Linked DNA regions of Nothobranchius furzeri. The protein of the gene in region 5 interacts with the protein of the main gene of each other region in a biochemical or structural test. Links are inferred from orthologs where the notes say so. Each region holds a gene or a part of one and is shown on either strand. Other genes may lie near its edges. The genes, in order: rnf167, ubr5, ubr7, trim32, ubiquitin-conjugating enzyme E2 E1, ipo11 and rnf4.

Region 1 (3,094 bases), on a different chromosome or scaffold from region 5:
ATTGCCAACAGGTCACAATCAACCAAGTATGGGGTCAATCTGAGGTCAAACATAAAGGAATTGAGTTTTTTTGCATTCTAACAGTGAATTAATCCCCTAACACAAACTTTGTGTAAATCCTGCTCAGTGTTGTCTCTTTTATAAAGTAGCGGTGCTTTGTGAGATTTGTCTCCATTCTGATATGTTTTATTGACCTATTTTATCAAATGGGAGAGAAATAAATTGCACTGGATCTCTTTAAAAAAGAGGGAAAGTAAAAATGTTACCTCAGAGTTCGCCAGACTGGATTAATCTAAAACAACCTCTGCGTGGGCGTCTGAAGACAAAATTAATTAATCCATAAAACATTCATAACTTTTGAGCAGCAAAATCATTTTAAAGGCTTACAACGTTTGCTGCTTTTCACAAAAATGATCATTTCAATTTACAGACGACGCCCAAATCATCAGTTACTCTGGTGCTGAGCTTGTTAATGTCCAAATCACAATCCCGTTACTACCACCAGACCCATGGAAACGAGCTAACTCTCAGGCATGGAGAACGAGACATAAAATAAAAGGAAGGAGTGCCTTTCTTGTCTTCAGATTAAAACATTAAATGCGAAGTTTCAGGTCAGTGTAAGGCAATGCACCTTGTCCTAAAAACACAGAGGTTCCCAAGAGAAACTAAAACAATTTAAAGGATCAAAGCTAATAATTTCCTTACTTGGTTCTTCACTTACCATTTCAAACTGACCTTCTGACCTAAACCTGAGTTTATTCAAACTTACAAACTACATCAAGCTAAAATCCTACCTTCACCGATTTCAGCAACAACGTAAAAGCAGCAGTAAAATCTCAGAAATACTCTGTGGAAAAAAGCACAAAACAAAAGCAAAGACTAAGATCCCCCCTACCCGCGTGTACATCCTGTTAGTTTACTTAAAACTGGAATAAAAATATAACTGAAACAATCAGAGCCTTCCGTGTAGAGACCTCATCTAGAGTTACGCTCTTACCTAATAAAATAAACCTTACTGGTTCCTAAAGTTGTGCAGCACTAGTGGTCGGGTCATGTTGGGTCACAATTTAGAGCATGCAACAAAAGCATCTACAGATATGAGCACAAGAGCGATTATGAAGGGGAGTGATTCTTTTGGACTTTGATCAAACAAATTACACCGACTCCCGCTTTGACACTACAACGTAGACCTCTGGTGTCTGGTTATTGGATAAAAAAAAAAAAAACAATCAGCCGCTGTGGAAGTCTAAAGGTCTAGCTGATTGTTGAAAGTAAATAACTTTACAGCACATTTGTAGGCAGGAAAACCCTCTCTCGTTTCCTTTAAAGTGAACAACAGGCTAACTTCACTACAGCTAAGTTCAGGCATCGACTCGGTTCCTACCAATGAGATGAACCGTGTCATCATCACTGTGGTGCCGGTCATCTCCTGCGTCGCCACTTTCTGAGTCTGTGTCCTCCTGAGGAGAGTAGTAGCCCTGGTAGCCCAGGATGGGTGAGCTGCGAGCAGGAGACACCAGACACTGGGCGGCGGTGGTGGTGGCTGAATAGGCCACTGGGCTCCCTGAAGGGGACCCGGGGTTGGAGGGCCGGAGCAAAGGAGTGCGCTCTGAGTCAGCTTCGCCATCAGTTCCTTCCTCATCTCTGCGTCCTGCCCCTTCCTCCTCAGAATCTGACTCTGAGTGCTCCGGGTTATTCTGGATCACTCGCTGTTTGCACACAGGACATGTCTTCTTGTTCTGGGTGAGCCACGGGTCCACACACTTGCTGTGGTACGCTGAGAAACCAGACGGATTTCACAAAACTCAGAAAAAGGTCAAAACGCATAAGAAGCTTTATCAACTACAACAAAGATGAAGAAACAAACACGTCACTGAGAGTAGATGACTGAAACGTGTGCTGTCACCTCAAAGGAAAACACCTAGAAAGTCCGTTATAATCTAGTAGTACTTGGTGTACTTTTCTGAATACATAATCATATTTAGGTTTTACACAAACACGCCGATGACAAATGAGAAATCTTTACCGTGTGAGCAGGGTAAAACTCTCAGTTTGTCTCCTTCTTCATACTCGTCCAGACAGATGGCACAAACATCATAGTCGTCTCCTACAATACAGGAAAATGTTCAGGAATCACACCGCAGACACAACCCTACAGAAAAGCAGCAAATGAACACGACCAAGCAGGCTGCTGCACACACATAACAAGTGACTTTTGGGCTGCAGTGATGGTTTCAAGATGTTTTTAAAAAATTCGGAGAGGGCATGTATCTAATATATCAAATATTCCCACACAGAAGACTTCAACCACTTCCACGGTCCCGATGGGTGTTGTCACTGGACCTGCTTCTGCTGCGTTCAGCTTCACTTTAGCCTTAGTCAGTGAAGGTTGCGCTATTGTCTTTTTGTTTTTTACGGGAGGCGTTGGAGACGTCTTTACGGTACGGGGTTAATAGTCAAACCGGTCAATCCCTGCAACTCTAGTTGTAAATAATCTATTTAAACTTCCAGAGTGGAAAAATCAGGATTTTAATGACTGAGTTTTGAATTAATGTGACCGATTCCCATTCTGGATCTCTAAGGATGTTTGTCCATCAAATATGTAAATATAATTAATCCACAGTCACTTTGTCCAGATTTTAGCATAAAAACGATGATTGCAGTTAATATGAAGATCCTTTTCACAAAGACATAAAGGGAATCATTTAGAACCACAGACACAACACTCCCCAGAATAAACGTATGTGGCTGTTTAGCTCTGCAAGCTAACGGAAGTCCTGAGTTGGACCTCGAAGCAGACCACTTCTACTTAAAGCAAATCCAGGAGAAGTCATTTAGAGAAATTATCTTCACAACAGCCATAAAAGCTACAAATCCTTCACTATTAAATTAACATACTCTGGCCTGGGTTAGGACCCTTTCTGACATATTTTAAACTAAACAGGTTATTAGGTGTAATACCTAATAAATTATGCTAGTGTACTTCACATCACAAATAAATATAATGATTTGCTTTCTTAGTGTGAAAACAGCAGCCCAAATGTCCAGAACCCTGCAAATGATACAGAAATAAGCTGTAAAGCAGAGCCTTGCA
Region 2 (4,698 bases), about 13 Mb from region 5:
GAACCTAGTAGCGGATGGACTTTGTTCCGGGTCTTCGGTATTTGGCTGAGATGTTAGTGAAGGCGGAGAAGAGGGCGAACTAGAGGAAAAACAGGCAGATTCCACCTCTATTTACAAACTCCTGGGGATGCAACAAGTGGGCGCGGTGCGTCGACTACCGGATCTGACGTCGACGAATTTTTAGAATCGAGCCGTCGACGTCATCGAAGCTTCGCTACAGCCCTACTAACCCTACACTCTCTGGCATCTGGTTGGTCCAAAACGCATAAACAATAAACCCTTAAAAGACAAACACTTCCTATATTCGGCAGTTCCAGCCAAAGCTCCAGCTTGTGCTAAATTACCATTCTTTGTGAAGTCAAACCATATCTTTCAGTGGAATAATTTTAGCAGCATTAGAGCCATCGTTTTTCAGAACCAACCAATTATTTGTTGAACCTGCAAAACTCCATTAGAACCACCAGAAGTCACCCAGGGAAGTTATCGCTTCGACCAGTGGTGTGATTTCTGAGGGGTCCTACAACCCTTAAATACATCAGAAGGCCAACCATTCGCTTTGCCTTGCCGAGATGACTTCGCTTCTTCACACTGGAGTTGGATGGTTTATTATTAATTTGATAACTTGTTAAACTTCATTAAACATTCAGCCAGATTTACTTTATCAATCCAGAAATCACATCTAAGACACTTTATTAGGCTCTTAACATCTAAGCTCGTATTTCTTCAGTTTATTCATTGTCTCAGTTGATATTGCCTTAAATCTTCATTTATAATAATTCATCATGAATCATCATTAGCAGTAGAAATATAGTACTATTGGTTTTTATAAACTATAGTTTTGCCTCTGTGTCAGATTATTATAAAGTGTTGTTTCCCTGGCATACCCAAAGTATATACTTATATCAATAAAATATTAAAGGTTCGATAATATCGATAAATCCATATTTTATTGAGTATCACATTTTATTGAATACCTTTATATTTTATTGACAATGTGTTAAAAGTAACCACTTACAGAACTGTCCAATAGAAACTTCACAAAGACAACTTCATCTTTTAATTTAATGAACAAAAACTATGAGACAAGAAATATTTTAATCAGTTCCACAATAAAGCAGATTGGGCCATTTCAATGCAACTCAGTTTACTATCGCTCAGATTCTTGCTGGAATATCAGGGGTAAACATTTTTACCTTTGAACTTGTGTATTTCTCTGGAGTCAATTTAAATCTTAATGTTAAGTAAAGCAGTCTACCCCTGAGTGAAATAATAACAAATTAAGCTGCTGGCCTCATTATCACTTGTAAGTTGCTTTGGACAAAACTATTTGCTAAATACATAAACATAATTTTAGGCTCAATAGGGTGCACATTAAAGCCCACGGACTAGAGCAAACACTACAGAAAGGCAAAACCAAATTAGAAGATGCTCCAAGAAGCACACTGTGACTGTAGATTACAAAAGAATAAAAGCCTGGAGATGAAGAGCCATGACCCCCTCCAAGGATCCAATAGCACCAGGATGCTCCTGTGGCATTTTCATGCAAGATTCCTTCAAAATAATAGCGTAAACTGAGCCTCCCTGTCCACCAGAGCAAAGGTGGTCCTCCTCAGAGCCTGTAAAAGCTATCCAACACTTAGCCCCTATCCTGTCTTTAAGCTCAAGGTCATTCCGTAAAACACTGACTTCTCACCTCTTTGTCTCTAAGTGGAACAGCTCATTAATCAGTTCAATCTCAGTGGACAGTATAAATAGATTTATTATAGATCACGTGTTGCAGAAAAACGTGGGTTGCATACAAGTTCTAATGTATTTTTTCTAAATACTACTAATTAACTATCTCTTCACTTTATAAATGAAACCTTTTTTGAGTAAATTAGCCAATCTGCATTGACTGGCTAACTACACGATATTATATCTGGGTTATCCGTTTAAGGGAAACCAGTATTTGAGTGGAACAATATTGGGTGATTAGGTGCTAACTAAAGAATTTCGTGTACTTTATTGATACTTTATACGCCTTGGCTTGCTAGCCTAATTAAAGTCGATAACAAGATTAAAATGAATGTAAGGCTGCTAGATGCATCCCAGTGCCCAGCGTTGGCAGCGACATATTAGGTCGCCTTAGCAATGAAGTTTGGGGATAAATGTATACTTAAACTTCAAGATTAATGGAATCATTACAGCAAAAAGCTCAGAATATGTCTTTGTCAAGCGCGTGGTAACCTAACCTAACTAGCATTGTGAGCTAGCTGACAGTTAGCTAGCTTTAGCTCCTTCATTGATAACATTAGCCAACAAAACGCAAAAATAACACACGAAAACCCTCGCCGCGGTGGCGTATATGTCATTTATACACAAACGTGAGTGGTTTAACAGTTTGGTTGGGTTAAAAGCCTTATATTTCCACCCCTCTTTCCCCATCCCCCAACCCGCATTGTCTATCTCAACTTTGACTATGAGCCAGTCCGTCCAGAAGAGAACGGAACCGTCCTGCTAACGTTACATAGACATTTAACGCGTTAGCATTAGCATGCTACCGAAGGTCTGCTCAAAATGCCGGGCCTTAAATCATCCCTGGAGGGCTCGTTTTTACCGTTTAAAAAACAGAAGAAAACACATGACAGTATCAACAGTTACAACCTAGAATAAACTTTAACCAAACTACTGCATTAACAATCATTTTATTTACTATTTTACTGCAACGAAATACCTGTCATTGAGCTGGTCTTCGGTCCCGGGCAACGGGTGAACAACGAAGTGGATAGATGTCATGGGCCCAATCCAAAATCACACACAGACTCGTGAAAGGTATAGAAATACTTAATCCGTCGACTACCGCACGGATGTGATTTCATAGGAATCGTTTAATTGCAAAAAAGACCTAGAGTTTGAATCCCTGGCTCCTCACCCACATGCCGCCATCTTAACTCTACCGAACCTCTTGTGAGTGTTGATAAGAGCACTCGGCCGCTCCAACACAAACAGGAAACGTCATCAAACTGGCTTCAAGAACAGAGACAAAACCAACGGGAGGACAACTACATCACTACAGTGCTGCTAAATATGTTCGTTTTGTTTCTTCTGGTTTTACATATTTTTATCGCGGTGACAGTTTTTACAGGACCAATAATTGCCTAGTTGGCCTTTTTATTTCCACACTGTGGGGTGAAAATCTCTCCAGACCCTGAAGTCAAAAGGAAGATTGGTTTAGTTTGAACAAAAATCTGACAAGTTTGTGGTTAATTTCCAGGGTTTCTGTCAGGCTCCTGAATTTCAGCTCCAGTGTTCAGAAGTCCGACTGTACCTGAAGTAAATGTGCCAGTAAAAGCATATTATAGGAGGCAACATAATGGTGTGATTTGCATTTCTATTCTCATTACATTGTGACCCATAGCTGTAATACTCTATTATTATAGAGTATCACCTTGCTATATATACCGGTATATATATATATATATATATATATATATATATATATATATATATATATATATATATATATATATATATATATATAACATGTCATATATATATATATATGTGTGTGTGTGTGTGTGTGTGTGTGTGTGTGTGTGTGTGTGTGTGTGTGTGTGTCTACAACTCTCAGCATTTATGCACAATTTGAATAATTTGCATTTGCAAGTTATGCAGAAATTTGTCCAACAGTTCTGCCTTTTTTAACTGCTGAAAGTATTAACAGCTTATACGGAAAAAGCAACTAGACAGCAAGTCTAGCAAGTACAGTGAAATGTGTAGTCTTTGTAAGAATGTTATGCAGCAGCAGCTCAGGAGGTTTATTTTAAAGTCCCATTAGTTGTCACACACACAGGTGTGTGTGCGAAATTTGTTCTCCGCATTTGACCCATCCCCTGGGGGAGCGGTGAGCTGCAGACACAGCCGCGCTCGGGAACCATTTGGTGGTTTAACCCCCCAATCCAACCCCTTAATGCTGAGTGTCAAGCAGGGAGGCATTGGGTCCCATTTTTTCTAAGTCTTTGGTATGACCCGACCAGGAATCGAACCCTGATATCCCAGTCTCAGGGTGTACAATCTACCACTAGGCCACTGAGCTGGTTAACAATCATTAATAAATAAATAATAAATAAATTTTACATTTATTTATCCAGATGTGTCGATTGAGAACTCATTCTCATTTACAACGATGATCTGGCCAAGAGGCAGCAGCAACAAACACATAGTTAGCTTTACATAAAAGAAAAACAGGTAAGATAAAAAAAATACAAGACAAAAATAAGATAAAATAATTACTAGACATAAAGACAAGGAGGAGGTAGATTGGGTTATCCAGCAATAGGAGGGTTGTAGGATCAATCCTGTCTCACCGCAGAAAATACTGCTGTTCTGTCCTTTGGCAATACACTTAACCCACATTGCCTGCTAGTGGTGGTCGGAGGGATTGGTAGTGCTTGTGTAGGGCAGGCCCGCCTGTGTCAGTACCCCAGGGCAGCTTTGACTACGAGGTAGCTCCTCCCCACTAGTGTGTGTGTGTGTGTGTGTGTGTGTGCGTGCGTGCACGCGCGCCAGGGTGAATGACTGATTGTGTTGTGAAGCTCTTTGGGCGGGTGTTGAAGCCTAGAATACACTACAAATACAGGCCATTTACCATATATTTGAGTTTATAAGAAACTTGTGTGTTTAAAAACAAATAAAACAAGTTACACAAACTGTACTTTT
Region 3 (4,878 bases), on a different chromosome or scaffold from region 5:
GGACACTACCACAGGCCACTGAGCGTGTCAGGTTACTGAGTGCAGAAAACCGTGTAAATACCTGTGGAGCCGTGTTGATGCATGCGCTGTGTGAGCGGCTACTTTATTTGTAACGTTTTTTCTCTACTAGGTCAGCCACAGCGCTGTGCACGCATAAAAGAATTTAAAACAACACCGACCCAAGCAAGGGCCCACAAAATATACATTAAGACCAATAAAGACAGAAGATAAAAGCATGTTGATAAATAAACCAAACAGGATGAAATGAAACTATAATTTCTAAAAATATGATGCTGAGGGAACGCTACAGAAGTGTCTTCACCCGGATCTTAAAAACAGTGAGGGTCTGACCTCGATTGGTTCTGGTGCTCTAGGGTCTCAGCACGGCTTCAACAGGGCGACACCCTCGTGAGGGTCGAGCAAATTAACCCATGTGGTATTTGCGCGATTGCTGATTGGGAGCTGGTCGTGAGGTGTTAGTTGCTCATCGTTACGTCCTGTACACGACGCAAAACTCAGTCCAGCTTCGGATTCTCACACCAGAAGAAAATCAGCTTGAGATGAGTCACAAGTTGCGCAGTTTTTAGAGATAGGGTGAGAAGCTCTGTCATCCGGGAGGGGCTTGGAGTAGAGCTGCATCAAGAGGAGCCAGTTGAGGCGGCTTGGGCATCTGGTCAGGATGCCTCCTGGATGCCTCCCTGGTGAGGTTTTCGCCCCCGCGACCCGATTGCGGATAAGCGGAAGAGAATGGATAGATGGCTTGTATTTGCATAGCACCTTCTAGGCTTCTAAACCCCCCAAGGCACTTTACAACACACAAATCAATCCCACAGCCCTCCAGTTAAGAGACAGGGCACTGTCGTAAATGAGGCCCCTGGACCTACCCTGCCGTGAAGCCAGTCCTCACACACCACACACTGAATCATCTCGTCTTCCTCCTGAACCCAAAAACACCAAATCAGTCAGACAGCCTCAGGTAACAGCTGGTAGACAGGTGAGCTCCAGCTGTCTCACTTACCTGGTCGTCAGGATCAGGATACGGCCGGCTGCACGTGCAATACATACCAAAGAAGTTGTGATTGTATTTATTCTGACTGTTGGCATCGTCTTTGTCCTGACACACACACACACACACACACACACACACACACACACACACACACACACACACACACACACACACACACACACACACACACACACACACACACACACACACAGTGTTAGTGTGTGGCAGCTTAAGCAGTGATAACAGATCATCACAGGTGTTCTCAGGTGAACTCACTGGATAAAGTTTGCACTGCAGCTCAGAGAACTTCCTGTTTCCGCAGTCACAGCGGAAGTTCCTGGAGAAACCACAGAGGAAGACAGAGGTTCTAGATCAGTTTAGTGATCTTGTTAGAATTTCCTGTATGACGTTAGACTTGTGAGGTAAAGCTAGACATGAATCTGTAGACGTCCCATTGGGCACTGGAGAGCATTAACAGTGTCGTCGCCATATTGGATGGGTTCCTCACTCTCCAAACCCAATAGGAGTCGATGCAGCGCGAGCGGCCATGCCAGGTTTGTGTTGCAACAACTGGCGCACTATTTAAAACAGATAACGCGGGATTACTGACTTTTCTAGCCTACCTGATGTGATGTTATATGTTTATTATTTAATTATATTATATTTTTATTATCATGCCATACCATGTGTTGGACTGTTAAAAAACATGACAAACTGTTTTTAGTTGGGGAAACACCTTCCTCAGTGGTAATAAATGCACTGGGAGCAAATGGAGACCCACCCAAGGTGGCGGCCAGCCAGTCCGCGGGGCGTCTACGTATATGATGTCAGTACAAACTGATCTGTTGATTTGTCGGCATGTGGAGATTACAGAGTGCATCGATCACCTCTTGGTGTAAAGTTCAAAGAGGTCGTGACCTTCATGGCATTTGTATGAACAGGCCAGACAGATTCCTGCAGCCTCGCCTCCCTTTGGCGTGCAGGTGTTACAGGCGTACAGTGCCTGTCGCTTCACGTAGCCCTGGAACGAACGAACACACACACACACACACACACACACACACACACACACACACACACACACACACCAGCTGTGGTTATGATGTAGCTCGTCACCATCAGTGCGTGACTGGTTAGTTAGTCGTGATTAGCTACAGAAGCAGGTAAAAAACCAGAAACGCGGTGATGAGCTGGCACCACCTCCTGGTCATACATATCTACTACAGGTCATCAATCTGCACCAGGTGAGACCTCACCTGCTCCCTGACCTCTTTACCAACACACACACAGACACACTGACTGGATCAGAAGCCCTTACTGTAAGGATATCTGTGGAATCTGGGAATACCTGAGGATATGAGCAGTGATCGGAGTCACTTCCGGCCAGCACAGCTGAAGCCTCTTCCTCCAATTCTTCATCTTCCTCCAGAACGTCCACTAGAGACACCGTCTGCTCCTCACTCATCCTGGTCTTCTCTCTGATGGACAAACAGCATGTATCACTGATGGGTTCTGGTCCAAACGGTGGTCGCTCATTGACCTTTAACCTGTCTTTGAAGGAGTTGATGGTCTTCTCAGAGACCTGTCGAGGTGTTCAGCTTCACCCACCTCCACCAGAGCCCAGGGTGGAGCAGGTTAACCCTAACCAGCCCAGCACTGTGGCTAACATGTTAACTTTGTTTTATAAACGGAACAGCAGGCATTTGATTATTACCTGTCGGGACAGGTGAGTTTAATGGCAACAGAATCTAACTGTTACCATGACAACCCAGAGTTAACTATTCCTGACGTAATCAAATGGTTCCATTACATAAAATGATCAATATTTAGTTAGCATAATTTAGCATTCTCGTGCTAATCCTGTTAGCTTGTAGCATAAACCAAACTCACCGAACAACAGGGGTAAATCGACACTTTTGACGCTGTTTCTGTCGTTCACAAAGCAACCAGCTGATTGATTATCACCAGTAACTGCGTCCGAAAATCTATCTTTGTCGCTATAGGCGCGATCTACACTAACTACCCACAACTTCCGGTCCTGGGGTCAGAGGTCACCGCCTCTAAAACAGATCTAACGGAGATCAAATCGATCAGACTGATCCACCGGAATCATAAACCTGCGCGCTGCAGAAACATTTATTAAGCCCAACCAAAAAATGGCTCAAATAAAACAACTAATCACGTGACCGAACGCGCCAACTCCATGGTGTGTTCACTACCAGAAACAAAATCCGTCCTTCGAAATATTTTACTGAAAGCGTTTCACTTTGGTGCTAAAGATTAACTTCAGATTTAACAGCAGTATCATTTGTGTATGTGTGTGGCAATTAGTGATTAAGATCAAATAGTCAAAAGCATTAATCTACTTATTAACTCCTCGTGTGTACGTAAAGTATATACGATCAGCTGACGGAAACGCAGCGCTCCTGAAGGCAGCTCCGTGTGATACGTGATGACGACACCGGAATGGCGGCTGTGTGTGTGCAAGCAGAGCTGAGGCTCAGGGATGGACAGAACCGAACCGTCGGCGTAGTGGTCGGAAACGGACTCAGTGCTCTGAGAAGTGGGATTTCCGAACTGAACGCGAAAGTGTCGCAAATTCTTACCGAGCTGGTGGACCGCGAGAGGCCGCGAGGAGGCTGCACGCGAGGTGAGCTTTTCCTTGAGTCTCGCGATAATTTATTCCGTGTGAGTAACTTTGGCCTCGGTCTTTTTTTTATTTTTATTTTTTTTATCATTAAATGCTTTTTACAATTTCTCGTGAGACACTTTGGCCTCGGTGTAGATCGGTCTAGATGAGCAGCAGCTGCAGGACCGAGCGCAGTTTCAGGCACACTGTGGAGTTTTAGGTTTGTATTGTGTTTGAGACAGCGCCCTCTAAAGGATGAGTTTTTAATTGCAACTGTAGATTCAAAACATTCCTTTAAATCACGTTACATGTGTAAAATTTAATTAGAAGTAAAAACAATCAGAATTTTATTAAAGCGACATAAACTTATTTAATTGCCGGTGAAGCTTTACATCAAACTATTAAATAATTGGTCAGTCTTGTTCCATCTAATTATTTCCAGTTAGCTGGTAGGCTGCTGTCTGTGTGTGTGGTCTGCAGACAAAAGAAAGCACAAAGTTGAAACTCTTTGCTTTAATATGTTTAGTTATCACCGTTTGAACTGTAATGTTTTGCAGCAGACACAATTTAGTTCATTTTCACAATAATAACCTTACTTACAATTTTAACAGAGCTCCTTTCTTTAATCTTTACATTTGTGTAATAAAAAACATTAGCCTAAAGTAACGGTTTTATTTCTTTCTGAAAATAAGAACAATTTCATACTTTTATGCTAAAGTTGGCTTATATCCTTTTCTTTCACATCATCCACAGCTAATTTAATATTTTCTTTAATTTGCCAAAGTGTGAATGATATCAGTTCAGTCGCCTGACCAGCCAGCTTTATGCTTCCTTCTGGGAAGCAATGGTTTAGGTCTCAGACCAGCCCAGTCATCTCCACTAAGCTGAGTTAGCTCCTAGCATAGCCGCAGGGTTTCCCTTACATAGGCGTAGCCGTGGCGGCCCGCCTATGTATGGCTGAAATCCCACCGCCACGCCTACAAGATCCCAAGTTATTTTATTTTATGCGCTGTTTCCCGAAGAAGCAGCGGGAACTACTATGTTGTCGCTTGTGATCACAGCAGGCAGGCAGCAAGGAGGAGCAGGCAGGGCAGGGTGAAGTTACAGCATAAGTTACTTTTATTGAACATGTTTAAAAACGTGTTCTATTTGTTACCATCACACATCTGTTTCAGTGGTATCAGATGCTTCACTTCCTGTTTCTGGCAGCACTACTTCCTGTGGGTGTGCAGAAACGTTC
Region 4 (3,051 bases), on a different chromosome or scaffold from region 5:
TTTTCTGAAAAGCTGAACTAAAACTAAAATGGAATTTTTAAAGAAACGCATTGCTTTTAGTGACCAAAAAACCCTTAAAAATGTTAAAGAAAATAAATAAAATATAACTGTACCAACGAGGAAACAACATGACCCAAATGTAAAATCAAACCCCCAAACAGCTATCACCATGGCTCCATATTTATCACACAGCCCTTCAGGTTATGATTTTACAGTTCAGCACTCGTCTAGAAGGTACTTCCTATTCTGCACGTTCTCTGAATGTTGCCAAATGCAAATGATTGATAATTCATTAGACTTCTGTCATTAAAGACTAACAAAGTAAATGTTTAAAGCTGCCAGCTTCATTATCATTAGTGTGCTACTGAAACCCGTTGATAGGACACAGTGGTGTCGAGAATAAAGTGCTTCACAGGCCAAAAGCCTTAGTGTGCTTTATTTCATATGTAAGTATATTATCAGCCACTGTTTCTTCAGGTTTACTTACTTCACACACATTCAGGCGAAAAGATGAATAAAACAGCCAATAAAAAGGACCTGGTGTCATATTGGTGTTTTCTCCCGTTTTTAAGTTGGAATACGAGTTTACAAATGTGGTGTAACAATGAAAGCCAGGGAGGCAATTGTTTGGATTTAATCTACACTAAAGCTTCCTTTCTCAAAGGTCAATTCTGACCAAACCTACTGAACTTGTTCAGTTCATCTTTTAAGTGGAAGAATGCCTCTTTTGAATGTATGTATAGACTTTAACACAGTGGTCCCAGCAATCTAGTACTAACAGCTGCCCTTTCTGGGTAGTGGCAACCCCCACAGGGCAGTTCAGCCCTTCTCGGATCAGAATATTAAATCCACCTTCTTTGGGAAACTGCAGGATTTCTTTTCTACCACTGTCTGTAACCAGCAAGTCCCCGTTGGCATCCACACACATGCCAGTGATACAGCGGAAGTCCTCGGTCTCTGAGAAGAAATGGCTGAGTTGTTTGCCAAGCTGGCCATTGGTGCCCACTGAACTGATGGAGAAGCCACCCTCCAGGTGGGGTTCATTCTGCCGCTTCTCAAAGTTCAGGGCCAAGCCCTGGGTGAAATATACCGTTCCTGCTGTGTCACACGTCACAAACTTTGGCCGCACAGCAGAGCACAATCGGTTGTAGCTGACTACGCCTACGTTGCGGTCCACAGCGAGGCACCACAGCTTGCCCCCTTCCACATCTGACACCACAAACTGACCTGACGGCATGGCAGTAATCCCCCATGGTTTGATCAGTTGGTTTTTGTGGCTAGCTACATAGTGGCCATCCATTGTGTAGACTTTTACAGAGTTATCATAGTTGTCAGTGACACCAATCAGGCCTTGTGGTGTCACAGCAATTGATAAGGGGTTTAGATTTGGCAGGTCAGCCCCAAAGAAGCTCAGGACAAAGTTGTCAATGCTGGCATTACGTCGGATTTCACGTGGGATACCTTTGCGATTAAAAATCTGGACACGGCAATTTCCACGATCAGCCACTAGTACATCACCTTGTGGCGTCACACAGATGCTCACTGGTAAATTAAACATCCCAGGTAGAGCTCCCTTACAGCCCATCTTCTTTACAAATTGGCACACTGGTGGTCCTGAACTTGCTCCAGCAGTTGATCCTCCTCCTTCATCCATGGACTTGGACTTAAAGCTGCCTGGTGAACCACATACCGTCTCCTCTACTGCAGAGACCATGTCGACATCCCTGTAAAGATCCACCGGAACCTTTACAGCACCTCCTGTGGCACCTCCTGGCCCAGATACACTCTCAAATACAGTCTCTGCACCTCCATTGTCTTCCTCTGTATTAATGACGCAAGTGTTTGTGGTTAAATGCCCCACTTCTAGAGGTTTTGATTGCTCTATTCTCACCAGCGCCGGCTCTTGAAGCTGAAACTGTGTGGATAAACTGCCCCTCAGGTCTAGCTCTTCATCGTCACTTCCTGCACCATCATCTTTGAGCAGGGCGACATCACTCTGCCTTACTTGCACAGTCAGATAATCACAGCGTGACACCACTTTTACTTCTGCGAGGTTGAGAAGATACGTTTGTTCCTCCAGGACCTGCGCATTGAGTTTTTCCACTTCTCCCAACGAGGCTGTGAACAGCCTCCGAGATCTGCTGAGCTCCCCTTGAAGATGTTGCTCAGCCGCGTTGTACTCCAGCTGAACTGCCCGATATTTTTGTCTCAAGGTCTTAGAAATATTTTCAATCGCCGTCTTCTTCTTTTGAATTTCACCCATGACATCCCGGAGAGCAGCCAGCTTCCCGCCCAGTTCTTTACGACGCTGCTCAGCAGCCACCTTAATTGGCTGAACTGAATGACCTTCATGCAGGTGGCCCTCACCTTTACACACTTCACAGAGAACGGTAGAACAGTCGTGGCAGTACTGTCTTGGTAGACGGTTGCAGCAGGACTTGCACATTAGTGCAGCAGCAGCAGCACTGCAGGACAAAGTGCAATCTATAATTTTTAGCACAGTTAGATTATCTGCCAGCTGAGAGATGCTGCTCATCCGTGAGACTTTGCTGCAGAAGGGGCAGCGAACGCCATTAATAGTATTAGCCAAGAGTTTCTCGAGACATAGTCGACACACTGTGTGGCCGCACTGCAAAAGTTTAGGTCTCAGGTGGTCCTGATTGTAGGTCTCCAGGCAGATGGGGCATTCAAGAACCTCCCTCATTAGATCTGGGTCCAGTTGGGAGCACGACGCTGCCATTATGGCCTTTTCCTTGAGTGGAGAGAATGGAAAGAAAACAGGAGGGGAGATGTAAATGCAAATGTAAAATAGTTCACAACTAACAAATGCAGGAAACAATGCAAGAATAATCATTGTGTTTCATTTATAGAGCCCTGTAAAATAGAAACAAGTCTGTCTTAGACTTAGATGAAAATGTAGACCTTTTACATTTTCATTGTGGAATTATTAAAAATTTAAAGCACTGAGAAAAACTGAATCTGGAAGGAAAAGAACTATATGACACAAATTATAATGCATTTCTATGCAATGTATTGAATGTGTAATTTGGG
Region 5 (4,906 bases):
CACAACATTTAATTTCTTGTTAAATGCTACCTCTAAAATAAGATTGTACTACTACTTTATCTTGGATTTTTTTTATTAAAACAACAATGTAAAACTACTTCATGTGATGAACAAAAGAAAAGGCTAAATTGATTTTACTTTGAAAATGAACACTTTTTTGCAGAAAGCAAAGTGAATGTTAGATTTTGTTTGTTAAAAAACACCATTGCTGCTATTTATATATTTTTTGTTATAAATTTTCCTTGATTTATATGAATAGTTTGCACAACATTTAAGTTTTTGTTAAATGTTATCTCTAACATAAGATTGTACTACTATTACAACAACTTTATTTTTGAATTTGTGTGTTCAAATGAAGAAATTTGCATTTATTTCATTGAGATACATAAATTAGTAATAATGAAACTGCTATACAAGTCAAATAATTGGGAAATAATCAATAATTTAATCTAATCAAATTAACAAATTAATCATTAGATTAAATCGATGCATCGAAAAAATAATCGCTAGATTAATCGATTACAAAAATAATCGTTTTTCCCAGCCCTACGCATGACATTCTGTCTCAATCTGTCCCCCGATGATATTCTGCATTCCGTATTCTGCGCTTCAGGCTCTCTGTGTGTGTGTGTGTGTGTGGGGGGGGGGGGGGGGTTCTTGTTCTGTGTGAAAATGAAGCGGTACAAGTGATAATGCTGCAGGATTTCATAATTTTAACCCTTCTCAGCAGCAGCACTGCAGGTGCTCTCCATGTCCAAAATGTGCGTAAGCCAGGTCCTTAGTCAACTTAAAGTTGCGCACATTTTCCCGCTACGTTCTCTTTCATAAATCCCAAAGTTTGCATTGAAAGTTGCTTACACAGTTTTCCAACCCAGTTTTGTGCGTAAGCAAGCTTGATAAATGAGGCCCCAGGGCATTTGTGTGTGTGTTTTGGCCATTCTTAAATGCAAAAAACACAATATAAACACCATCTTGGACCGGATAACACGGAACAGTGCTACGCCCTCTATTGTCCTGGTGGGGAATTGCTTTGTAACACTCCCCAGGAGACGGAGAAGTATGGGGGCAAAACGTCTCCATTCGTGCGTCTCTCTCCCTGGTGGAGCTGACGGAGAAGTATAAATTTGGTTTCAGTACCAGGAAGGAAGCTTTTTTTTTTAAATAAGTTCAACTTTCAGTTACAGCTGTAAATACAGATCTTCAGATGAAAACGCATTTGTTTTAATATTTTAGTTCCTCTTGGAAGAACAGCTGCTTATTTAAACTGAATGTTTTGGTATTTGACATTTCCATTCAGGAAAAAGAAACTATTTGTAACTCAAACTGAGACAACACATAATTTTGTTTATTGCAACGAAGCTTCATGGTAATAGATCTGATAACAGTGGGAAGCCTGATTAGTTACCTTTACTGTAGGTGGTGCCATCTAAACCTGCTTTATTCTGCTGTTGGAATTCAGTTCTTCACTGGATTCAACTCTCCCACGGTACTCAGGAAAAAGCAACACAGAAGGCCCATTTCATTTTTTTGGAACATCTGGGTCATTTTGCTGGACCTTCGTTACGTTCACCAGGCCGACTCAATAGGGCCACTTTTGAGAGCTTTTCAGGAACCAACCTAGAACCTGAATTGGAGCAAGTACGAGGAAAAGGCCCGGTAGTGCCGCTGGACGGGACTTGTTGTTACGTTCTGCTGATTGGTTGGAGAAACAGCTGATAGGACAGAGCTATAGAATTTTCCCTCTCCCAGAAGTGTCCCTGAACTCCTGTAGTGAAAACACGGTAATACTGGCCCCTGTGAGGGACAATCAGTAGGACGTGGAATATCCCAACACAGCCTCACCAGCTTGGCCCCGCCTCCTCATTCTAGACACATGTTCTTGTGAAACCAGGAGTCAACCAGTGTTGTTGTGTTAGGCTCAATACCAATACTCACACTTCCACCCTTGTGCCCTTCAATTGCGCATTCCTGTCCAGGGGCACAAGGTGTACCAATCCTCAAGTGCGGAAATTGACCACACCCCTTTTGCACACTTGATGCGGACTTGGGCAAAGGGTATTACCCACAACCCATTGCTGTGAAGGCATTTTGAAAAGACTGAACAATGGCTCAAGTGCCTTATTTGAAAATATGTATTTTCAAACAAAAGAAGTTCATTTTAAGACGACTAATGATATTTATATGAATAAATATCATTACTGAATGTTTAAGATTAAAATTTAATGTGAACAGCAATGAATGTAAATTGTGTCAACTGTTTAAAAATTGTTAATAAAGCTTTTTTAAAAAGTAGCACAAACAGCAACCGGCATCCCTGCATGCACAGTGGTCGATGATGCAACGGCCACTGTCCCAATTCAGCACACAGAGCCTTACTGCACACTTCCTCTAAGCGCACTTCACAGAAGACACAGGGTGCAGTGTGGGTATTGGAACTGTGAACTGACCTATAATAATGATTTTACCTGTTTCAACATTTAGGAAGTTTGGATCAGCCAATATCAGGACAAAACTCTGATCTGTCGTGCTGGTGAGTACATAAAGAACCATAAAACCGTAAACTCACCTGCAGTTTGGCGGAGGGTCCAGGGTAATTTCAGCCAGCTCTTTTTGAATTCTGCAAATGTTACAAAAATCAATTACTGATGGAAGGATCAGAGGTGGAATTACTCAGAATCAAACAAAGTGATTAAAAATAAATATGATCTAGTTAACATGGCATCAGAAAACTAACTTACACACCTTAATGCTGTTTGACTGTTTTTGTAGAAAAGAATGTTGAATGAGACTGAAACTGTGAAGATTTTTTTTTTTTTTTTTTTTACTGAAGAAGAAACTGGTACTTCCTTAAAAACATGGTTTACAACACTACTCTGGCTTATAGAAGCAACCGCCTAAGCACAAATTAAACTAGTTCCTCTTTGACCATCAATGTGTTTTTTTCACTGTTAAATAAATACACAAGGGGAAGTCATGAAAACAAATTCTACTGTCGTTTACTCATGTTTCTGAGCTTATCCTGCCATCAGCAGCTACTAAAAGTTACATATTTATATGTAAACAACATTGTTGTCTTAAGGGGTTTTAAACAGACATGAATCTAATGAGCAACAATAATCTGCCCATTGCTGTATGACAGATTTCTTTTAACCTTTTGGCGCTGGTGGAAAGCAGCTTGGAGGTCTTGCTCATGCTGGTTTTGTTCTCCCGTTTCTTCTTGAAAGCTGTATCCTTGTGTCTGTTTTGGCTGGAGGAAGGTGGTGATGAGGATGAGCTGGTGCTGGCACGGGAATCCTCATCCGACATACCGGTTAGGATTGGAGAAGAGCCGCAACCTGAGGAGAAATGGGAGGAAATCTGAAAAGTGAAAGTAACCCAAAAATGTGGAGCACTTGTGAATAAAGGTAGGTAATAGTATTTTCCTTTTGGGAGGTTTATGTTTCTGAACACATTTTCAAATGTGTAGTGTTGACAAAAACAAAACATCTGGTTTTTATCAGGATTAACAAAACAAGCTGGAATAAAAATGAACAAACCAAGTGCTTAATAATGGGGAAAACAGTCTTATTTTTTAAAAGGTTTTTGTGGAAATTATTTATTTGAAAATGTTAATTTTCTAAACATTTATGCACCACCTTTCCTTGATATAGCCTAGCAGCAATATATATATATATATATATATATATATATATATATATATATATATATATATATATATATATATATATATATATATATATATATATATATAAGTCTGAATAAAATTAGAAAAAATTAAGATATTGAAAACATTTACATCCGAAAGAATAAATTAAATCCAGGATGTGATCATGTGCAAACCATGGTGCAAACACAAAACATTACACATCAGTTAGCTAGCTTGTTTGTTTTGATCTCATGTTGCAGACATGAGATAGGATTCTCGCGAGATTTCACAGCGATTCGCCTTCTGTTTTTTTTTTCGTTAGGTAACGCTTTCCGCTACGGTTAACAGTCTTTAGCCTTAGCTAGCTCGTGGTTAACATTAAATATGGTAATTTTGTATCGTAAGCTATAAATTAAAACGTGTCTGATGGTATATACACGCCATATGTTTCTTCAAATCACCTTTCTTCGTGAGCACTATCAGTAATCCAGCATTAGTCCTCCCCGCTTCATAAAAAACTTAACTGGTAACGAAGACTCGGGCCTCAAGTCTTTGTGGATAAAACAATAATAACGTGAAATTAGACGACGGCTGTGTTGTCAGCTCTCGTTGTGAACCGCTGCCTTTGGCATTAAGACACATATAAATGTAACAATTAAAGGTTTGAAGCAAGAATGAGAAAAAGAGGACCGCTCCAGCACATAGACGCAGCCCTTCCCCCCGTGCTGCTGCTGACTCGACCTCGAGCGTTTTGTTTTTCTTTTTCTCGTTTCTGTCGCCGCGCATCAACATCAGCTGGGAACGCAAACATGTTGGGAATCAGCGCAGATTTTCACAATGCCGAACTAAACGCTTGAACGGAACCATTCATCTCGCTCGTGAAACTTACCCACTCTTTGTGTCTGGACCTCCGCCACCGTCAGGCTGCCTGCTGCCTGTCGTCCTCTGCGGAACGGAAGTAGCCTTCCGCGGCTGCGGGAGGCTGAACAGCTCCGGTCCTGCTGGGGAAACTGGGCCGTCCGCGGCGTGTGTCAAAGCTTCACATCAAGTACATTTAATTTAAACAAGATTAGTCTCCCAGAGGAGCTGTACAGCAGTGCTCCGATGACACCCAGACAGCACAGGTGGCCTAAAAGTCACGCACTGCAGTGCACTTGTTAAAGGTGACAGCAAATAAATCAAAAGATAAAAAAAAGTAGTTCAACTTCTAAAAAATGATTCATATCTGATCTGAAAATCTAAACATTGAAGGATAAAAAG
Region 6 (4,148 bases), on a different chromosome or scaffold from region 5:
TGTTCATCACTTTTATGGACAGAATTTCTAGACGCAGCCGTGGTGTGGAGTGTGTCGAGTTTGGTGGCAGGAGAATCTCGTCTCTGCTTTTTGCGGATGATGTGGTCCTCCTAGCTTCATCCAGCTCTGACCTTCAGCTCTTGCTGGGTAGGTTCGCGGCCGAATGTGAAGCGGCTGGGATGAGGATCAGCACCTCCAAATCTGAGACCATGGTTCTCGACCGGAAAAGGGTGGCTTGCCACCTCCGGGTCGGGGGAGAGGTCCTACCTCAAGTGGAGGAGTTTAAGTATCTCGGGGTCTTGTTCACGAGTGAGGGTAGGAGGGATCGGGAGATCGACAGGCGGATTGGTTCGGCGTCTGCAGTGATGCGGACGCTGAGCCGATCTGTCGTGGGGAAGAGGGAGCTGAGCCAGAAAGCCAGGCTCTCGATTTACCGGTCGATCTACGTCCCAATCCTCACCTATGGTCATGAGCTTTGGGTAATGACCGAAAGAACGAGATCGCGGATACAAGCGGCCGAAATGAGTTTCCTCCGTAGGGTGGCCGGGCTCAGCCTTAGAGATAGGGTGAGGAGCTCGGACATTCGGGAGGGACTCGGAGTAGAACCGCTGCTCCTCCGGATCGAAAGGAGCCAGTTGAGGTGGTTTGGGCATCTGGTCAGGATGCCTCCTGGACGCCTCCCTGGGGAGGTGTTTCGGGCATGTCCTGCCGGCAGAAGGCCCCCGGGTCGACCCAGGACACGTTGGAGAAGTTACATCTCCAATCTGGTCCGGGAACGCCTTGGGGTCCTGCCGGAGGAGCTGGTGGACAAGGCCGGGGAGAGGACGGCCTGGAGCTCCCTAGTTGGGATGCTGCCCCCGCGACCCGGACCCGGATAAGCGGAGGAAGACGAGACGAGACGAGACGAGGCTATGGAATCCTACGTCTTATGGCTTATTAAATAACATGTAATTTAAATCATTACATTCCTAAAGGATCATGCTAGAGGAGGTATCGCAGATTTATTTGACTCTGACGATCGTGACTCACAAGTAGGACTGAGTAGAAGCCAGGCTGGGTCTCCCACTGCCTGAGCTGCTCCTCTGCAGGCTTCAGCACAGCCGTGTCCTGACTGGTAGCTTGGGTCAGGGTCTGCAGCACCACAGAGCTGGCACTGTCCATATCCATATCTGGATATATCTACAGAGAAAAGGAAGAGAGAGAACAAGAATCAGGGAAAATTCTACTTATTTAAGGAAACTTCAGGTATGCTTGGAAGGAAAATAAAAAAGATCGTCAGTTCACGGCGAAACCTAAATAATTAAGCATCACAAGAAAGTCGAGGGAGTCGGTTTATATCCTCAGAAACCATCCTGAGAGGAGTGGACTTAAAAAAAGCCCATTTTTCTATTTAATTGTTATTTTGTTTTCTGCCAGTTGCATCATAGTTGAGGGCTCATGTCACATCCGTGTTTATTAAGATTTGTTGTTGGGAATCATCTGTTTTCCATCGTCCAGTGAAACCTCCCACCTAAAGATCCATCCATCCATTTTCTGAAACCGCTTTGTCCACGCAGGGTCGGGGCTGGTGCCTATCTCCAGCGGTCAACGGGCAATCAGGCGGTGTACACCCTGGACAGAGAGCCAGTCCATCGCAGGGCAACACAGACACACAGGACAAACAATCATGCGCACACACACTCACCTAAGGACAATTTAGACAGACCAATCAACGTAACAGTCATGTTTTTGGACTGTGGGAGGAAGCCGGAGTACCCGGAGAGAACCCACGCATGCACAGGGAGAACATGCAAACTCCATGCAGAAAGATCCCAGGCCGGGAAACGAACCCAGGACCTTCTTGCTGCAAGGCAACAGCTCTAACCACTGCACCACTGCGCAGCCATCCTCAGAAACATTGGCTTTTACTTTATCTAACTATTATTTCAACACTGTTTTGTTATAGCTCAAGCGATGCTGAAACTAATGCCAAACACAAGATGAAACATGCTCTTATAAAATAAAAAATAAATCACACTTAATAGAAAAAACTGGAGTCATCTCAAACCTGCAAATAGCTCTTTCATGCTCCAGATGTTGTTCAACCACCCAAGTTTCACACAATCAAATGTGTATTTGTCATTCTAAATGGCAACTCAACTAATTTACCCATAAAAGACATTTCCAGGAGTGAAAATATGGTGTAAACCATTCTTTAACAGCTCACACTCACATTTAAGTAAAAGGATAAACGAACTTAGAGGAAATCCCTTCGGCTTTACTGAATTTACAAGTTTATAGAGTAATATCTAAAAATACCTGTTTCTTATAGGTTCACTGGATTTAAAATATCCTGCCTTAATCACTTTGAGTAAACAAACTCATAAAATGAGCAACTGAATGGTAGAACGATGGAAGTGACTCAAATGGAGAAGAAAGAAAACATGAAACAATGCTGCCATCTACAGCTCAGACACAAATATTCAGCACTACAGGAAACCAGAGTTCTCCTGGAACTGCATTCATTTTCAACATCACAATTATTTGGCAACGATGTGGCTCCAGCTGCCGCCTGATGAGTGAAGATCATGAATAACTTAGCCAAATAACTTCTTGTTGCCGCTATCTATTCTAAATGAGTGACCAGAAGAGTTTAAACCAACAATGATTCGATTGAAATGCAGCTTCAACCTGTAACACAATGTCAATTGTGTTACAGGTTGAAGCTGCATTTTTATCATTTTTATCATGGCTTTTTATCATTTTGATAGGATCAGCAAGCTTTTTCGTGTCATCCCTTCCAGACGTGACATACTTTGATATAAGATTAGAATCTTTTAACTGTCAACACGTTTTCCACGTCCCTCTGACTCGAGCTGGAATGCAGCAGATACTTAACTCATTCACTGCCATTGACGACTAAAGTCGTCATTTTAGATGCAACCGTTCACTGCCAATGACGACTACAGTCATTGGCATTTTTTTACTGTTTGAGCATCGGAACGAACCCCCGCGCTGAGAGAACAAACATCTCAGCCCTGAAGCCGATCTTCATCCGCACATGTCACATGATCAGGAAGCAGACCATCCAGGGTCTGAAATTAACACTCGCCACTCGCCAAATGCGAGCAAATTGCTCCATTTGGCGAGCAAATTTTTTAGCTCTATCTGCCACATGGCAAGTAAATGTTTGCACCAAATAAGTTATGTTTATCAGTCATCTTCCATGGATTTCTGATACTCCTCCCGCCTGCAAGCAACGTACACAAACGTACGCGAAACGTGAACGCCGCATCCAACGTCATTTCCACCTATCCCATTCGGTTTATCAAGTTAGCGGTTAGCTTCGTGTTAAAACTAGCGGTGAAATGTGGTGGTTTTTAACTGGAGTCAGCCAGCCTTCCAAAAGAAAACTCGTTGAACTGGAAGAATAACCACCAGGACCAGTGGCAACCAGAAGATGTTGTGAAAGTGGCGAACCGGAGATGGCGGAGTCGTGAGACAATACATTATGATGGCCACGTAGCGTTGCTGCCTTTCACAGACAACTGGCCCTCGGCATTCTTCAAATATCCAAAATATGCCCGTACTTCCCACTTTGTCTTCTTTGAGGGATAATAAATGTCCTGAGTGCTGTCGTCTCCTCCTGCCATTATTTCAGCTTTAGCTTAAAGAAAGTTTTGGTCGTAAACAACAAAGTGCGCATGTGCCGCCGGCAACTTCCAGATGATATGGTGGCTGGTAAGGGTCACCGCGCCTACACCGCAGCCACGGTAATCCACCGAGATAATATATGTTTTAAAAAACAAGACGGTTATTATTATTGTCAACTTTTTTACCGGGGTTTACCACTACACCGGTTACCGTGACAACCCTAGCCCTGACACACTTTCAGATATTCTCATGGTGCAGCTGTGTTCTCCAGGGATCAAGGACTATGACCCAAATGAGGCTGTAATGCTTTGGCACAAAGACGGTGTCAGAAGCAGGAGGCCATACTTCATGGACAGAGAAAACAAGGAGTCTGACTAGATTTCAATGAAAGAGTTCATAAAAACATCTCTAAAAATAAATAAATAGTACAAATGACAAAAGAGTTGTTTTTCTTATTAATTGATGTTTTAATTATTTTGTCACTCTGTTTGGAATCAACATAATAGATAGATAGG
Region 7 (4,774 bases), on a different chromosome or scaffold from region 5:
GATGTTCCAGATCCTTGACACACACCTGAAGATGAACCAGATGGATCCCATGACTTTTACCTCAACTTAGAGCTAAATTACAGGTAAACACACACACACACACACACACACACACACACACACACACACACACACACACACACACACACACACACACACACACACACACACACACACACACACACACACACACACACACACACACACACACACACACACACACACTTACTCACTTACTTACTTACTTACTTATATGTGATGATTTCAAAGCTTTGACTTTTAACAGGCAGTTTTAAGATCAGTTCCTTCTTTTTGTCCATGACATGTGACATGCATGTTTTGGGTGAAAGCTGGGTGGACCAAATCCACCTGAGAGGATTTAGCTTTTTAATAAATTCAGTTTAAAATCAAAAGTGAATGATTCTGTTCTTACAGACCTTTATTTGACAACTTGTCTTTTCAGTGCTGCGTTCAGGAATCTGGCTCGGTGAGGCGCTCATGAAGGCGCGGCCCTAAAGCAGACCCTGCCAGGTCACGCTGGAATTTTCCAGCCCCCGATCAGGTTTTCCCACAATGCACTGGGTCACCATACAGTACTGCAGCTCCCACAATGCTTCTGGCAGTTGTTGACAGATAGGTGGATAGATATGTAGCTTTCCTTTTGTCACATGTTTCCAATCTCATAGATCTTTACTTAAAACATGAAACTGATTTTGTTTATTTCATGTTTATGTAAACATTCGTGCATCTGCCTCAGCATCTTTGACCTGGCTCTGGCACCACTGGACCTGTTTGCTTCAGCTCATCTTTTGTTGAATGTTTTTGCTTCATTTGTGACAGCAGGAAGCTGTGAAAGTTTGCGTGGCTGATGTCATTGATGCATTTGTTGATTTGACTTCAAATAAAATCTGAATGTTGAAACTTTTATGTTGACCTGTTTGAGCCATCTGTTCCTTGGTCAATACAAGATGTTTGTTTTACTCTGACAAATCCTCCTTCTGGTTAAGAACCATATTGTCAATGCCTTCTGATACAAAATTAAATCATAAATGATTTTAATCATCTCAGAATAAATTTTTTGATCACACCAAAATGTTTCAGTGGTCTGATCAGAGTTTTTCTGGACAAGCTCTTCAAATAAAACTTGTTGAAAGTTTAAAAAAAAATGCATATGTTCAAATGCGTTTTGACTATGGTTGTAAACAGTGATGGTTTAGATCTGGACCCCATGTGGTTCAGATGTAAATTCAAGGTGGTTTGTGAGGAAAATATAATCAGTATTTTCTGCTGTTGAGTTTACCATTTTAGGTTCAAAATAGATCTGGTGAGTATTTCTAATAATTTTAAATATTTTTGTATGATGGAGAACTTTGACGCAAATCACACTTCATTTTAAAAATATTATATGCAAAATTTACTGATATTATTTTTACTTTATTGATAACATTATTTTTGTAACAGAACCTTAGTCAGAGTGATTGTAAGTTTAGTCCTGGAATAGTTCTATCATGTTGGAGGCTTGATTTTGGCATCAATAAAATCAGTTTCAAACTGAACCATTAAATTTGTGTACTGCATTGATTATTCAAGAAAATGGAATTGGAGATAAATATATTACTATCAAATAATATGATTTTCTTAAATTTGTTTTAACACATTTTTAACGTCGCAGTTCCATCTGAACTTTGCAGGGGGCGCTAGTGAGCTCACCGTTAGAGTACAACTTCCGGTTGTAACCGCAGAAGGCGCAGAAAGTAAAAGCTAACATTACAATCGTTCGTTTCGGTGTTCTGGGGCAGAAGTAGATTTTCTTGGACCGCGAATTCTCCGTTTGAGGTGAGACGTGTCACGTTCGAGCCGAACACATGAAAACACCTGGTGGTGAGTGAGAGAAGCTAACTGCTAACCAGTTGTGAGAGAAGCTAACTGCTAACCAGTTGTCTCTGGTCGTGATGGTAAAACGAAACTCCATCCGTTTAGATTTTGGACCGAAGCCACCTGTTTTTGTTATTTTAGTGACACATTGACTTCCTTGAAGAACACTTTGAAATTAATTGCGCTTAAATGAATACGCCTGTAAACAAATACCATCCTCAGTACTGTAGATTTAGATGGAAGTACTGTAGATTTAGATGGAAGGTATCAGGTGTGAGGAGTTTCTACTAAGGTGTAAAGATACTAGTGAGACCAGCCATGTCTGCTTTAGAGACAGCGTCCACAAGGTAAAGACAGGAAGTAGAGTTAGAGGTTGCGCAGCTTAAGAAGAAAGGGGCAGCTTATTGTGGTGACAGAGGTGGTATGGGTGTGCTGGTACTAAACAGAATGTTAAGTTAAAAGATTAAAACAATGCCATCTTGGGAATTTCACCCAAGGAAAATAAAATGGTACCTTTAGGCGCACATAGGTTCAATGCTCTCACAAAGGCGACAGAAACGAGGTGTACGCAAAGTCCACAATTTTATTTCGTGTTTTGTTAAAAGGACAGCAGTTTAAACTACTAATTTAAAAATAGAAAGGGAGAATTAAAACAAGGAAAGAAAATAATTAGTGTTACCAGGCTGGAGCTTACCAAGGTAAGGTGGACCCACTGGAGGTTCTAGCAACAACACAAACTAAATACCAATAGTCACCCAAAGCACCAGTGAACAGTCACACAGATGTGAAGGGGGGCCCACACCAACTCGCACACGGAAGAACCACCGCCACCACCCTTGGCTCCAGCCTGGACAAATAAAAGTTAAAAACCACAATAAAATAAACTCTGTTGAAATACAATAGTGCTCCAAAATCCTCATGCGTCAGAGGTGAGAAAAGGTCTCCCTTTCCACTCCAACCAACATGCTGGGCGGGAGAACGTCTGGCGGAGGAGCACCAGCACTGGTTAAAATCCTCGGTTATGCTCTGAGTTTACATGCAGCCAATATCCGGGTTATGATCGGGTTAAGGTCGGTATTCGGGTTTCTGAGTTGATCAGAATAACCCGTTTACAAGCATAATAAATAGAAAGAGTTACCCCTAACTTGCATAACCCGATTTAAATGCGGACGTTGGGGTAGCGTCAGGACGTATGGACTACGTCAAGACGCAATATGCGTCATATTTCGCTGTCTCTGTACTTTCGGCTGTCAACAAAAGACATAATGTTCATACTTTTCACCAGACCGATGAAGACAGGTTTCCTCGTCACTCCAAAAGTGTGGTGCTGTGCCGCGACTCGCCATGTTGCTCCCATCTTGTTTACTTCCAGTGTTCTGGCGCATACAAGACGTCTCGCTTCTCAAAAGACCAAGATCCCTTGCGAACAGAGCATGCGCAGAACACACGCTTTGAAGGGGATATCCCGATATGTGTTTACACGACCAAACATTCGGGTTAGAAAAGGGTTACCCCAGGTGTAGTAACCGGGTTTTTAAAAACCCGGTTATGAGCATATCCGGGCTTTTGGCGGTGTTTACATGGCCGTGCGGAACCGGGTTATTGTGAATATTCGGGTTTTAAAAGGGTTACTGGCTGCATGTAAACGTACAGTGAGCGGTGGCCCAAACTGCTCCCGATAGGTCGGTCCGCTCTGTCGAACCGCTCCTCGGTTGTTGAGGGAGAGAGGGGAGGGGGGTCACAGCAGTGACTCAAAACACTTTGTCGTAGCATCACAACACCTCGGGTCCTAAACAAAAAAGGTAATAAACCTTATTAACCCAGAAAAGAATATTCATACTGAGCGTGCAGGGAGGGGGCGCACCGCACATACATACCACGCCGACAGCAGTAGATCACCTAGAAGGCAAGCACGCTTCTTTTCCAACAGCATGCGGTAACGTTACATTATGTTAGATGTTTTGGAGTCAGAGAGGACAGACTGAGTTGGTTTGGATATGTCCAGATGAGAGACAATGATTACATAGGTAGGAAGATGATGAGGTTAGAGTTAGGGGTAGACCGATATTGCTCATGTAACGGGTATTACAATTAAATAATATGAAATAGGTATTGAACTATTGTCTTGACAACTCTGGACCAGTATCAAAAGTTCTAGGTAAGATTATGGAGCCTTGAAAGGATCAGCAGAGAAGGAACCACACAATGACAGATAAGATATGATTTAAATAGAAACTGTATTGAAAAGGTGTAAAGTTTACAAACCCTGCCTGTCTAAGCCGGCTTCCTACAGTGCACAAACGCACATTAAAGGACTCAAAATAAAACCAAAACCCTCTTTGAGGAAATTCTCCAAAGAGTTTCAATTAAAGAGCTTCCACTCCTGTTGCTCAGTCCACTTCTCTTTGGAAAGAGAAATTAGTTTGTGTGTGTGCGTTTCTGTCCAGTGGATCTAACACTACCCGGGTAGATTTTTTAAAAGTGTCAGTCTTATCTGTGTCAAGGGATGTAGTGATAGTCCTGGGGTTCGCTGAAGATGGATCCCACGGCTGGCCACACCGTACTCTGGTCCGTCTACAGTCACTCTCTTGGAACTGGCTCGCCACTGAACCCACAAGGTTCAGATCTCAAATGATCCGGTCCTGGTCAAAAAACCAATCGGAGCTCGTGGTGAGATAGCTCGCCTGGCTGACGCAGCTTCCCACGCCCATATTTCACAGAATTCAGATCCAGGATCTTTCAGTTAATCTGGCGGTTGCCTCGTGAGTAACGGCTTTCACAACAGGAAGTGCTGACTAACAGGAAGTCATCTCAAGGCATACTCGCCTCCTAGTGGCGGAGAGGGAAATTACACCTCCAACCTTATGCCGCAGCACAAACCACAATTCTGATGTGGGTT

Evidence for each region.
Region 1: the proteins of ubiquitin-conjugating enzyme E2 E1 (region 5) and rnf167 form a complex in vitro, tested with the Homo sapiens proteins (3 studies listed by BioGRID). The link is inferred for Nothobranchius furzeri from reciprocal best matches to the Homo sapiens genes UBE2E1 and RNF167.
Region 2: the proteins of ubiquitin-conjugating enzyme E2 E1 (region 5) and ubr5 form a complex in vitro, tested with the Homo sapiens proteins (2 studies listed by BioGRID). The link is inferred for Nothobranchius furzeri from reciprocal best matches to the Homo sapiens genes UBE2E1 and UBR5.
Region 3: the proteins of ubiquitin-conjugating enzyme E2 E1 (region 5) and ubr7 form a complex in vitro, tested with the Homo sapiens proteins (2 studies listed by BioGRID). The link is inferred for Nothobranchius furzeri from reciprocal best matches to the Homo sapiens genes UBE2E1 and UBR7.
Region 4: the proteins of ubiquitin-conjugating enzyme E2 E1 (region 5) and trim32 form a complex in vitro, tested with the Homo sapiens proteins (2 studies listed by BioGRID). The link is inferred for Nothobranchius furzeri from reciprocal best matches to the Homo sapiens genes UBE2E1 and TRIM32.
Region 6: the proteins of ubiquitin-conjugating enzyme E2 E1 (region 5) and ipo11 form a complex in vitro, tested with the Homo sapiens proteins (2 studies listed by BioGRID). The link is inferred for Nothobranchius furzeri from reciprocal best matches to the Homo sapiens genes UBE2E1 and IPO11.
Region 7: the proteins of ubiquitin-conjugating enzyme E2 E1 (region 5) and rnf4 form a complex in vitro, tested with the Homo sapiens proteins (2 studies listed by BioGRID, with this or other methods). The link is inferred for Nothobranchius furzeri from reciprocal best matches to the Homo sapiens genes UBE2E1 and RNF4.

What each region holds. Positions count from the first base shown.
Region 1 is NC_091750.1:48,167,194-48,170,287, forward strand, and holds the end of rnf167 (E3 ubiquitin-protein ligase RNF167), read right to left. Parts: intron 2,108-3,094; coding exon 2,027-2,107; intron 1,778-2,026; coding exon 1,362-1,777; 3' UTR 609-1,361; downstream 1-608.
Region 2 is NC_091745.1:50,648,865-50,653,562, forward strand, and holds the start of ubr5 (E3 ubiquitin-protein ligase UBR5), read right to left. Parts: upstream 2,933-4,698; 5' UTR 2,776-2,932; coding exon 2,714-2,775; intron 1-2,713. UniProt on the Homo sapiens protein: E3 ubiquitin-protein ligase involved in different protein quality control pathways in the cytoplasm and nucleus. Mainly acts as a ubiquitin chain elongator that extends pre-ubiquitinated substrates.
Region 3 is NC_091742.1:16,675,821-16,680,698, forward strand, and holds the start of ubr7 (putative E3 ubiquitin-protein ligase UBR7), read right to left. Parts: upstream 3,097-4,878; 5' UTR 2,900-3,096; intron 2,697-2,899; exon of another isoform or gene 2,557-2,696; intron 2,488-2,556; 5' UTR 2,475-2,487; coding exon 2,358-2,474; intron 2,031-2,357; coding exon 1,897-2,030; intron 1,347-1,896; coding exon 1,286-1,346; intron 1,115-1,285; coding exon 1,019-1,114; intron 939-1,018; coding exon 885-938; intron 1-884. UniProt on the Homo sapiens protein: E3 ubiquitin-protein ligase which is a component of the N-end rule pathway. Recognizes and binds to proteins bearing specific N-terminal residues that are destabilizing according to the N-end rule, leading to their ubiquitination and subsequent degradation.
Region 4 is NC_091746.1:55,656,065-55,659,115, reverse strand, and holds part of trim32 (E3 ubiquitin-protein ligase TRIM32), read right to left. Parts: intron 2,753-3,051; 5' UTR 2,741-2,752; coding exon 707-2,740; 3' UTR 1-706. UniProt on the Homo sapiens protein: E3 ubiquitin ligase that plays a role in various biological processes including neural stem cell differentiation, innate immunity, inflammatory resonse and autophagy.
Region 5 is NC_091745.1:63,675,267-63,680,172, reverse strand, and holds the start of ubiquitin-conjugating enzyme E2 E1, read right to left. Parts: upstream 3,307-4,906; coding exon 3,152-3,306; intron 2,618-3,151; coding exon 2,567-2,617; intron 1-2,566. UniProt on the Homo sapiens protein: Accepts ubiquitin from the E1 complex and catalyzes its covalent attachment to other proteins. Catalyzes the covalent attachment of ISG15 to other proteins. Mediates the selective degradation of short-lived and abnormal proteins.
Region 6 is NC_091757.1:51,403,230-51,407,377, reverse strand, and holds part of ipo11 (importin-11), read right to left. Parts: intron 1,180-4,148; 5' UTR 1,168-1,179; coding exon 1,030-1,167; intron 1-1,029. UniProt on the Homo sapiens protein: Functions in nuclear protein import as nuclear transport receptor. Serves as receptor for nuclear localization signals (NLS) in cargo substrates.
Region 7 is NC_091741.1:64,324,900-64,329,673, forward strand, and holds the start of rnf4 (E3 ubiquitin-protein ligase RNF4), read left to right. Parts: upstream 1-1,690; 5' UTR 1,691-1,836; exon of another isoform or gene 1,837-1,881; intron 1,882-4,774. UniProt on the Homo sapiens protein: E3 ubiquitin-protein ligase which binds polysumoylated chains covalently attached to proteins and mediates 'Lys-6'-, 'Lys-11'-, 'Lys-48'- and 'Lys-63'-linked polyubiquitination of those substrates and their subsequent targeting to the proteasome for degradation.